3 linked regions of the Oryctolagus cuniculus genome follow. The protein of the gene in region 1 purifies or fractionates together with the protein of each later gene. This does not show direct contact. Links are inferred from orthologs where the notes say so. Each region holds a gene or a part of one and is shown in the gene's direction. Other genes may lie near its edges.

Evidence for each region.
Region 2: the proteins of TBC1D15 (region 1) and UBXN8 purify together in Homo sapiens (affinity purification with mass spectrometry; 3 studies listed by BioGRID and IntAct, counting the BioPlex papers as one, with this or other methods). This does not show direct contact. The link is inferred for Oryctolagus cuniculus from reciprocal best matches to the Homo sapiens genes TBC1D15 and UBXN8.
Region 3: the proteins of TBC1D15 (region 1) and UBAC2 purify together in Homo sapiens (affinity purification with mass spectrometry; 3 studies listed by BioGRID and IntAct, counting the BioPlex papers as one, with this or other methods). This does not show direct contact. The link is inferred for Oryctolagus cuniculus from reciprocal best matches to the Homo sapiens genes TBC1D15 and UBAC2.

What each region holds. Positions count from the first base shown.
Region 1 is NC_091442.1:74,445,389-74,449,035, forward strand, and holds part of TBC1D15 (TBC1 domain family member 15), read left to right. Parts: intron 1-894; coding exon 895-1,033; intron 1,034-3,647. UniProt on the Homo sapiens protein: Acts as a GTPase activating protein for RAB7A. Does not act on RAB4, RAB5 or RAB6.
Region 2 is NC_091433.1:80,778,219-80,781,865, forward strand, and holds part of UBXN8 (UBX domain-containing protein 8), read left to right. Parts: intron 1-2,781; coding exon 2,782-2,904; intron 2,905-3,647. UniProt on the Homo sapiens protein: Involved in endoplasmic reticulum-associated degradation (ERAD) for misfolded lumenal proteins, possibly by tethering VCP to the endoplasmic reticulum membrane. May play a role in reproduction.
Region 3 is NC_091440.1:13,393,865-13,398,089, reverse strand, and holds the start of UBAC2 (ubiquitin-associated domain-containing protein 2), read left to right. Parts: upstream 1-1,367; 5' UTR 1,368-1,517; coding exon 1,518-1,548; intron 1,549-4,225. UniProt on the Homo sapiens protein: Restricts trafficking of FAF2 from the endoplasmic reticulum to lipid droplets.

The sequences.
Region 1 (3,647 bases):
GCATCTTCATCAATGATGGGAGATAGTCCATTTTCTCTCACTCTCTTCCATATATGATAGTATTTTTTAAGTTAAATTGGGTAAAAAATATAGAATTCTTATTTTATTTTTCTTTGTTACTGATGTTGGACATCTTTCTATGGGTTTCTGTTTTTTGGGGGGAGGGAGACTTACCTAGTCAAACTATTGCTTTTCTGTTTTGATATTAATCTATTTCTAATTAAATTGGTAGGAATTGGTTTGGATGTTTTTCTTTTGTTTTTCAAAAGCCTTTTATCGCAGTCTTGCTAATCTTTATGTGTGATGTCTTTTGTTGTATAGAAGTCAAATGTTTTGATTTAGTCAAATTATTAATACTGCATTTTAGACTTTTGGTTTTTCTTTTGAAAATGAAAGTTCTGTAGAACTATATACTTAGATATGCTGCTTTTAGCTCCTTTTGATTGCCAGTGAGAGAACACAATTGTTTTCCTCAAATTACTGAGTCTGTTGGATGGGAGCCTTTTATAGTAGTTCCCTTGCTACACTATGGCTACTATAGTTTTAGATTTCACAGTGGCAAAGTAGGATGAAGGGGAAAAGAGATGAAGCTTTTATTATGAAAGTCAAAGCATTTCCAGAGCCTACAGATGTACAGATGACTTTTGCATGTTTTTTTTTGCAAACCTAACTGAAAGGGAGTCTGGGTAAGTTTTTTTTTTTTTTTTTTTTTTTTTTTTTTTGGTAAATATGAGCAAGGGAATAAAGGATAGGAAAGAGTGTCTGGTTTTCCTACTAGTGATGTCTGCCACAACCCACAAAGTTTAATTTAGTAGAAATGGTGGAGATGTTATAGAGTCAAATGAAATTCCAGTTTTAGACTTTACATATTTCATATTTTTGTTATTATTTTAGGACTCCAGTTCTGTTGTAGAATGGACCCAGGCCCCAAAAGAAAGAGCTCATCGAGGATCAGAATATCTGAACAGTTATGAAGCAGAGTGGGACATGATTAATACAGTTTCATTTAAAAAGAAACCACATACCAATGGAGGTAAGAACTAAATCTTGAAATCTTAAACTGATTTGCTATAATATACTAATAAACAAGAGTGCAAAGAAAATTGTTTACTGTGCCTCTGTTAGAAGGATGATTTGTTGCTTTGATTAATTTGTATAACTCTCAAATTTTAATTATGTTCCTTTTCCATCTCTTGTTTGTTGTTCCTATTTTGTAGTTATTAATGGCAGAAAATAGAAACACTTTTAAAAATTGTTTTGGCTGTCTTTCATGCTCATTTTTCTAAATCTAGTAAAATTTTAAAAATCATGCTATTTCATCTTAAAGCACCAGGGGGAGATGGAGTACATTACTATTTTCTAATTTTTGTGCTATTCGGATTTTCAAAGTTCATTGCAGTCTCCCCTTTATATGTGTTAAGTGCCCATTTCCTTTTCCATCTGTATTTTAATTTATATTTGTTATGTGGTGATTATCTATGTGTGATTAATAGTAAAGACCTGAGCTAATAGTACTAACAAGATTGTAGATTCTAGTTCACATGAGAGATACAGCTCATAGAATGTAGAACTCACATACTACCACAAATATGCTCTAGTAAGTTGTTCTATGATGCAACCATTCTATTTGTGGATCTCTTTCTAAATATTGAATATTTATGTAGTTAAAATGTTAATTTTTTTGCTTATTCCTTTTGTGTTTTGAAAAGGTATTTTTTTTTTTAAATTCTAATGTAGTTATCTTTTTTTAAATTTTCATTTATTTATTTATTTATTTTGACAGGCAGAGTGGACAGTGAGAGAGAGACAGAGAGAAAGGTCTTCCTTTGCCGTTGGTTCACCCTCCAATGGCTGCCGCGGCCGGCGCGCTGCGGCCAGCACGCTGCGGCCGGCACACCGCGCTGATCCAATGGCAGGAGCCAGGTGCTTATCCTGGTCTCCCATGGGGTGCAGGGCCCAAGCACTTGGGCCATCCTCCACTGCACTCCCTGGCCACAGCAGAGAGCTGGCCTGGAAAAGGGCCATCCGGGACAGAATCCGGCGCCCCGACTGGGACTAGAACCCGGTGTGCCGGCGCCGCAAGGCGGAGGATTAGCCTAGTGAGCCGCGGCGCCGGCTCGAAAAGGTATTTTCTATCTTAATAATTTTGTTCTGAATTAGGAATTATCCATGTTTACTCATTCAAAAAAATGAGCAGCTATTGCTACATTTATTTTTAAAGATTTATTTATTTTTAAAGATTTATTTATTTTACTTGAAAGTCAGAGTCACACAGAGAAGGAGAGGCAGAGAGAGAGAGAGGTCTTCCATCTGTTGGTTCACTCCCCATTTGGCGGCCGGAGCTGTGCTGATCTGAAGCCAGGAGCTTTTTCCGGGTCTCCCATGCGGGTGCAGGGGCCCAAGGACTTGGGTCATTTTTACTGCTTTCCCAGGTCATAGCAGATAGCTGGATAGGAGATGGAGCAGCCGGATCTTGAACCGGTGCCCATATGGGATGCTGATACTGCAGGTGGCAACTTTACCTGCTATGCTACAGTGCTGGCCCCACTACTTATATAGATAAAATTGTTATAAGTAAAATTGATTTTCATGTTTGGCCTGGTGAATCATTCTCATACTCAAAAGTTTGTATTTTATAATTTCTAATAAACACTAGCATTTAAGAAGTAAATAATAATTCATTAGTTTTTGATAATGATGAGTTTGCACATGTGCCTGTCCTTTGTGTGTGTGTGTGTGTGTGTGTGTGTGTGCTATTTCTACTGAAAGGGTAGCTTCTTCTCAGAACCAGATGCAAGGTATCAAGGAAAGATGAAACCACAGGATTTTACTGTCTGTGACTTGTGAGGTGGTTTTTGACTTTGCTAGATTAGATATTCAGGATTGTTTTATGTGAATTGTATTTTTTATTTGTTGCTTAATATTCTTGTAGATGAGAGAGGCCATAGGAATGAGTGAAAGGGGTGAGTTTTTAAAATTTGTTAGCAGAAAGAAACATAACATGGATTTGAAAGACATAATCTCGCAGTAAAGATTTCTTGAGACTCATGCTTCTCTGCCTTTTCTGCCCATGGAAGTCATCTGGGGAGATTAGGTTTAAAAAACAAAGAAAAAACTCCAAATTCAGACTCTGGAAATGGAGCCTGGGTATCTGTATTTCCCAGAAAGTCTTTAGGTGATTTTAATGCGCAGTCAGAGTTGAGAGCTTCCATATAGTTGTGAAGCTTAGAGATAAACCACAAGTGTTAATACTGCTTATGTGGTTTGGCACACAAGAGCGACTTTTAAGGGAATAGACTTTATTTTGTAATTGTTAAGAGATTAAGTAGACATTTTCTAAACTTGAGGGTTTAGGATTAATTCTGATTCTGAATCAGACCCTCAAGCTTAGAAATTTCAAAGGTTTCAAATTTGTGGCATTCTGAAATTTTCAAATTTATGCCATTTTAAAATTTGTGCTTTTTTGTGTGTGTGTGGTACAAAGGGTACTTGGGACAAACTTAAAAAATTGACTATCAAAGACTTATTTAACTTTGTATTTCGTAAGAGCACTTTATTTTTCATAATAGTTTCTACTGTTATATCCTTTATTTTCATATACCTAGTTAAATGTTTTGATAATTTCTTCTCAGAACCATAAAGATCAC
Region 2 (3,647 bases), on another chromosome or scaffold:
CACTTAACCTTTCTCCTGGAACCTTCTCTTGTAAACTCATGGTGGTTTTCTTTGATTTCTTGATGGTGGGCTTCCAAGTATCTGCTAACAGTGTTTACGCCTGTTTTACAAACCACACCTTATAATGCAACAGCTACTTTCATTGTTTTCATTCCATTTTCTATGAACTGCTAAAAACAGATTTATTTGCTTGTTTATTTATTTGAAAGGCAGAGTGATAGAGAGAGGTCTTCCATATGCTGATTTACTCCCCAAATGGTCTAACAGCTAGGGCTGGGCCAGGTGGAAGCCAGGAGCCAGGAGCTAGTCTCCCATGTGGGTGGCAGAGTCTTAAGCACTTGGCCCCCTCCACTGCTCTCTCAGGTGGATTAGCAGGAAGCTTGATTAGAAGCAGAGCAGCCAGGATTCTAATGGGCACTCTGATAGCGGATGCAGGTGTCACAAAGTAGTATCCTAACCCACTGTACCATGTTGCCAGCTCCTCTGTGAACTTCTTGAGATATCGCTGTACCAGTAATGTATATATTAAATTACTTTTGTGGGGCCAGTGTTGTGCCATATCAGGTAAAGCCACTGCCTGCAATACCAGCATCCTATTTGGGGATGAGTTCCCATTTGGTTTGAGTTCCAGCTGCTCCACTTCCCATCCAGCTCCCTGCTAATGCTCCTGGGAAAGCAGCAGAGGATGGCCCAAGTTCTTGGTCCCCTACACCCATGAGGGAGACCTGGAAAAAGCTCCTGGCTCCTGGCTTCAGTCTGGCCCAGCCCCAGACATTGTGGCCATTTGGGGAGTGAACCACTGGTTGGAAAATCTCCCTCCCTCTCTCTATAACTCTACCTTTCAAATAAATAATAAATCTTCTAAAAAATTATTTCTGCCATGGCCAGAGATACCCTAGATTGAATTACATCTATAATGAACAACATGTGAATCAGTAGTTACTGCTATTGAGAGCTGGAAGAGCTGTGATGCAAGAAAAGAGGGGCCCACGTTGTGAGAGAACTGGAAGAAGCTCCTGGCTCCTGGTTTCAGCCTGGCCCGGCCCTGGCTGTTGCAGCTACCTGCAGAGTGAACTAGCAGATGGGAGATCTCCCTCTCTCCCCCTTCCCCAAATCAATAAATCTTAAAAAAAAAAAAATAATAAGTTGATGGCACCCATTTAAAAAATTGTATAAAAAATCATATTGCTTTTCTAAACAACTTACTGTTGCTGTTTCTTTTTTAAGGATGCATCTTTTCAGTTTAAAAGAACTTTTAAATTCGTATGTATAAGTGTTTATGACTTCTTTCATCTTTGGTTAATTAACAATCAGTGCAGATTCCATTTGTGTGATGCTTCCTTTCTGTCTGCCAAGTAACTTTTGAAAATCACAAAACAAAATGATAGTAAAAACTCCTGGGGGAGAGAAGTCATATGCAACCCAGCTTTATGTCCCCTGTCCCCTTCGCTGTTTAGCAAATTGTATCCCACAAAGTAGGCGCTCATTACAGTTTTTGCTGACTTAATTTTCACTTTGGTGCTTAAAATATTGTAAAACCAACTACTGACGTTTTGCTTTTTTTCTAGACAGACAAAGAGTAATTTTATTTGCAAATGAATGGATGAATACGGAGAAGTAGAGAAGCTCACAGTTTGCATGTCTAGTTGTGACAAGTCAGAATGTGGGATTGCAGTGGGAATGACTGTTTTGAGTAGAATTCGTATTTGACCAAGACGGTACTCTCACAGTCTGATTCCCAATTATGTAGTTCATTTGCCTTCCCTAGGCAGGAGGGGAATCTAGAACTTAGGCTTCATAGATAGCCATATTTTTGTAATGCAGCCTACCACTCTAATTATACTTATATTTTTAAGACAGAGGTGTTTATTCTAGAATTATTTTCTGAAAAGTCATTTTGGTTTCTGAAAACTTGTGACAGCCAGGATGAATTACAGTTCCCAAAGCAGAATGCATGAAATAATCATGACGGTTAATAACTTCTTTTTAAAAAATATTTATTTTAGGGCCCGGCGCCGTGGCTTGCTTGGTTGATCCTCCGCCTGCGGCATTGGCATCCCATATGGGCACCAGGTTCTGGTCCTGGTCGCTTCTCTTCCAGGCCAGCTCTCTGCTGAGGCCCGGGAGTGCAGTGGAGGATGGCCCAAGTGCTTGGGCCCTGCACCCCATGGGAGACCAGGAGAAGCACCTGGCTCCTGGCTTCAGATCAGTGCAGCACGCCGGCGGTAGCGGCCATTTGGGGGGTGAACCAATGGAAGGAAGACCTTTCTCTCTGTCTCTCTCTCTCTCTCTCTCTTTAACTCTACCTGTCAAATAAATAAATAAATAAAAAATCTTTAAAAATATATATAATTTATTTGAGAGGCAGAGTTTCGGGGAGGGGGAGACAGAGAAAGAGAGCTTCTGTCTGCTGGTTCACTCCTCAGATAGTCACAACAGCCAGGATGAGCCAGGCTAAAGCCGGGAGCTTCCTCCAGGTCTCCCACATTGGATGCAAGGGCCCAAGCACATGCGTCATCTGCTGCTGCTTTCGCAGGTGCATTAGCAGGGAGCAGTATTGAAAGTGGAGCAGCTGGGACTCAAACTGGCATACGTATGGGATGCTGGCATTGCAGGTGGCAGCTTTACTTGGGGCCACAATGCTGGCCCCAGGCTCATACCGTCTATTACTTTTCTAGTAAAGATAACCTTTTAATGTGTTTTTATTGTTATTATTAGTAGTATCAACATAGTATCAACAAAAAATGTTTTGAATTTTAACTTTAATTAATTTTTTTTAAGGACTTAAAGATCTCTTTTTGCTGTGTGGCCGGATTTTCTTAGCACTTGCTCTTCTTACTTTAATTATTTCTGTGACTACCTCATGGCTTAACTCATTTAAGTCTTCCCAAGTTTATCTGAAAGGTAAGTTGATTATTTATGCTATTCTTTTATATTTTTCTACTCAACTTTCTTTCCTTTATTCTATAACTTTGCCTCGTAAGAACTATTTTACCATTAACTTGTGATGTTTAATTTTAAGGAGGAGTAATCATTACAACTTTAGTCATGATTGTTTATTTTTATTACTTGAGAGGCAGAGAGAGAGAGCGAGCCAGCTCCCAGCCACTGGTTAACTCCCCAAATGCCCACAATCACTGGAGCTGTGCCAGTGCCAAAGCCAGGAGCCAAGAACTCAATCCAAGTTTCCCGTGTCATGAAAAATGTATATTCTTGGATTCAGAGTTTAGAAAGTGTCTTAAGACCACTGAGCCTGATCTGTCTAATAGCAAGTTAGTAGCGTCCAATTTTTTGCTGGGCTTTATTGCCCTAATCTTTGTTTTGTAATTTGAGGAAATACAAAAATGTACTGCCAAAGAGCTGAAGTTATCAGTAGAAGTGAATGTTGCTGTCAAAGTTCAAAGGGTTTATGTATTTTCTTAAGGATGGGTCATTCCAAAGGGAATGGTTTCTGGTTTGTTGTTACTGTGTGTGAGCCATTTTGTGCACATTGCAGTATTACAAAATCCAATCTTTAAATGATGTTTGAAGGACAGAGCCAGTTACGTAAATGATATTTATTATACCAAGAGTAAAACCAGTTCCATACAACAGCAGAAACCCTTTCTGTTGTTCATTGGGTAACAGCCTGGCAGTGTGTCAGTCAG
Region 3 (4,225 bases), on another chromosome or scaffold:
CTGGCCAACAAATGGTAGTATCTTAAAAAGTACTTCCAGGGAGGACCCTGAGGCCTTATCAATGAGCTTCTTGTACTCTGTTCACTAACACCTCTCGGTTTATCTTGCAGCTTGAACTAATCGTTTACCCAGGCATGAATTCATAACCTCATGCATTGGTCAAGTGGAAAATACTGGTTCAGAGTGTTACACAGGTCTTCCACCAGTACTATGGAAAGCTCCACTGTATACTCATGAGTGAGCCGGGGCAGGGTGGGGACAGCATTGTCTTAGCAGTACCACGAAAATAGCTTTGTCCTTTGGGTTCCCTTTTTGGGTCAGAGATCGCCACACCTACACCGAGTCCCCGTCCTATGTAGGCTACAGGCTTTCTCACCAGCGGACAACTTCTGCAAACATAAAGGACAATCGTTTGGTTGCAAAAGATTTGAGCTGGTTAACCTAAGGTTAAATATAAGCTGTATTTCAAGACTGTAAAAAAAATAAATAAATAAATAAATCAAGCCTGAAGAAGGAAAGAAAAAGCACCTATATTTTTGCTTTCTAGATCTAATCAATGTGACTATTCCGGTCCCCTGGAACTTCTACTAAGGGTGCGGGGACTGTGTTAATAAGGGAATCTCAGATTTACATTGGCTCGTACAAATAAATTCATTTTTTTCTTGTTTAAGTATGCTGTACACTTTTGCAGCCTGTCCTTTCATTTAGCCGTGTACTATGGACAATTTCCCCCTATTCTTTGAAAAAAACTTTTTAAACGATTGTATAATAAAATTTTCAGGCTCACACCTATTTTAGATGAAGTGACTTTAGCAAAGAGCAATTTCAGTCAGCAGTGGGAAGAAAACCTAACCTGACAACAGGCAGGGTCTCTGCGCTGGACTCGCCCCGCGCGGGCGGCCTCCCGGGCCGTTAGGGCTTGGTGCGTGCACTCGCGTGGGCCCGACGTGGGTCCGGACAAAGGGGACAGCTGGATAGGCCCGCTGTCCCATATGGAGGGAGCGTCGGCCAGCTCTCCTTCCGTCCGCGTCCAGAGACCTCTCGCCCTTGGCTGGACACCGGAACCCGAGACGGGCTAGCCGGAAAGACTGGGCATGCGTGGGACGCGCCGGGCGTCCCGTCCGAGGAACTGTTAAAGGACCGAGAGGAATCTGCGGCCATCGCGGCTCCTCAGGGTGCGGAAGCGCGGGTGGGCACAGGGGTACGGCTCCTAGGGTTACCCCTGAGCTCCATCTCAGCCCTTTCCTAACTGCAGCCGCAGCCGTCGGAAAACTCCGCACACGCGAACCCCGTCCGCGGCGGACGCACTTCCCCTCCCCAGCAGGAAGGGAGGGCGCAGACCGAGTGGGCGCGCCCCTGAGTCGCGCATGCGCAGTCCGGAGGGCGTCCCCTAGAGTGGCATCACGGCGCCGGATTCACCGCCCCGCCGGGAGTGCGCCTGCGCGGTCGCCGGGGGCTCTCCACCTCCGGTTCCCCTCCCCCTGGTCCCCCGCGGGGGCTCCGAGCCCGGCGGGACCATGTTCACCAGCACCGGCTCCAGTGGGCTTTGTGAGTACCGGCCGCCGCCGTCCTGGCTGCCCCCACACACCCCCCTGAGCACTTCCTTGAGGAGGCTGGGGGCAGCCGAGCCCCTCCGGCTTGAAGGAAGTGGGAGGGCCGACCCTCCATCTCCGAGCCCGTACCTCAGTAGTTGGTGGCCTTGGGGGGCAGCGGGCTCCGCCCCCATCCTGGCTGGCGAGTGGGCTCGGAGTCCCGCCGCCAGCCTCGGCCCCCGCCCGTGAGCCCCCCCGGCGATGCTGGCGGCGGGCTGGGCAGTTGGGGTCAGGCTGGATGCCCCGGTGTTCCGGGGGCCCTGCCCGATGCCCCCGGTAGCGCGTGTGCCAGGCCGAAAGAAGAGGCCGTCCCGGTGGAGGCGGTGCTGGGAGCCTGCCCCCTTCTCGTCACTTTCCCCATTCATTGAGGCCGCCGACAGGCAGAGTGCAGCCCTCGTCAGGCGCTGACCTCCCCGAGTCGGGAGACGCGCTTCTCCCCGGTCTGAGGAGTTTTCGGGCGATTCAAGTGCTTGCGAGTGGAGAGAAGTTTAGGGAGCCTTTGGCCGGAGACCGTGCTCTGCTGCTGGTGTCGCCGTGGCCATCGGGGCGGCAGCGCTGGTCAGAGTGGCGAGGGAACTCCTATTAGCCGTTTAAACAAGGAGCCACTCCAGGGTGTTTAGCTGACTTTGGGTAAAGCGGATCTGTTAGCCGGACAGCCCTGAGGTCGTGCCCTGACTCCAGCAACAGCCAGCTGTTGGCAGCCAGTATTTGAGCAGCTCTTCGCGAAGCTCTGATGTTTCGTTTGCTTGTCTCCGCGGGCGCTTCTTAACTCTATACGTGTGAAGTGAATGTTGTCGGAATACAGGCACCTGTCTGGCGTCCATCAGCGTCGCAGTCCTGTAGTAAAAATGGTGGGGGTCGGCGCCGTGGCTCACTAGGCTAATCCTCCGCCTAGCGGCGCCAGCACACCGGGTTCTAGTCCCGGTCGGGGCGCCGGATTCTGTCCCGGTTGCCCCTCTTGCAGGCCAGCTCTCTGCTGTGGCCCGGGAGTGCAGTGGAGGATGGCCCAGGTGCTTGGGCCCTGCACCCCATGGGAGACCAGGAGAAGCACCTGGCTCCTGCCTTCAGATCAGCGTGGTACGCTGGCCGCGGTGGCCATTGGAGGGTGAACCAACGGCAAAAGGAAGACCTTTCTCTTTGTCTCTCTCTCTCACTGTTCACTCTGCCTGTCAAAAAAAAAAAAAGGTGGGAACGCATGTCTTCGACCCAGAGTGTGTTGGTGTCAGGGCCACAGGCGTGCGTTTACTTCCCCACCTCTCAGGTTGGGGATTTGATTCATAGCATCTTCCATGGATTGGTCCCAAAATGAGTTACATCTCCTAGGTGGTTATAGTCTCCCTACTACCTTTGGGCTGAAAACCATTATGACTGTTGATGGATGGAACTGAAGCTTCAAGAAAGGGATGGAAAAAGGGGTAGAATTCTTCAGGCTTCTTGTTCTTCAGCATTTTGAACTATCCTTGGTGACCAAAAATACATGTAACAATTGAAAAGGCAAGATAAATCTGTTATTGGTTATTAGTGTATTGGCAACTTGTATTCTGAGGAAGGTAATATTTTGTGACCTGTGGCACAATTTATATTTTTTTTATTACTTTGGTGACTGTTGAGTTCTAGGAACCAAATTGCTGCCCAGAGAGAGGCTTAGGCTGCGGGGCCCTCCCCAGCTGTTTTGGCCAGTTTCTGAAATAAGTGTATCCTCAGTGTGAGGGTAGGTGGAATGGCCCTTCTTTAGGAAGCTGGTGCCATGTGCTTATTCAACAAATACTTTGGGCATCTTTGAGGATATTTCAAAAAGTTGGTAGAAAATGGAATTAAAAGATGAGTTGATTTTGGGGGCTGGCAGAATGGCGTTAGCAGGTAAAGCCATCAGTGAGACACCAGCATCTCGTGGGCACAGGTTCATGTCTCTGCCACTCCACTTCTGGTCCAGCTCCCTACTCATGTCCTGAGAAAAGCAGTAGAAGATGGCCCAAGTGCTTGGGCCCCTGCAGTCCATGTGGGAGACCCATTAAGCTCCTGGCTCCTGGCTTCCACCTGGTCATCGTGGCCATGAACTGTAATTCTAACTTTCAAATAAAATAAATATTTTTTTTAAAAGACAAGTGGATTTTAGTATAAAAGTTTTTGAAATCCTTGTATAGTTCTTTCATAGTACCCATTTTTCATGAACTTTTTTTTTTTTTTTAAATTTTTTGACAGGCAGAGTGGACAGTGAGAGAGAGAGAGAGAAAGGTCTTCCTTTGCCGTTGGTTCACCCTCCAATGGCCGCCGTGGCCAGCGCGCTGCGGCCGGCGCACCGCGCTGATCCGATGGCAGGAGCCAGGAGCCAGGTGCTTATCCTGGTCTCCCATGGGGTGCAGGGCCCAAGCACCTGGGCCATCCTCCACTGCACTCCCTGGCCACAGCAGAGGGCTGGCCTGGAAGAGGGGCAACCGGGACAGAATCCGGCGCCCCGACCGGGACTAGAACCCGGTGTGCCGGCGCCGCTAGGCGGAGGATTAGCCTAGTGAGCCACGGCGCCGGCCCATGAACTTTTTGAAGACCCCTTGTGTGTAGGGATTTCAAATTTTTTTTGGCACCAAATCAACTTACCTTTCAATTCCACTCTCCATGAACCTTTTGAAGGCCAC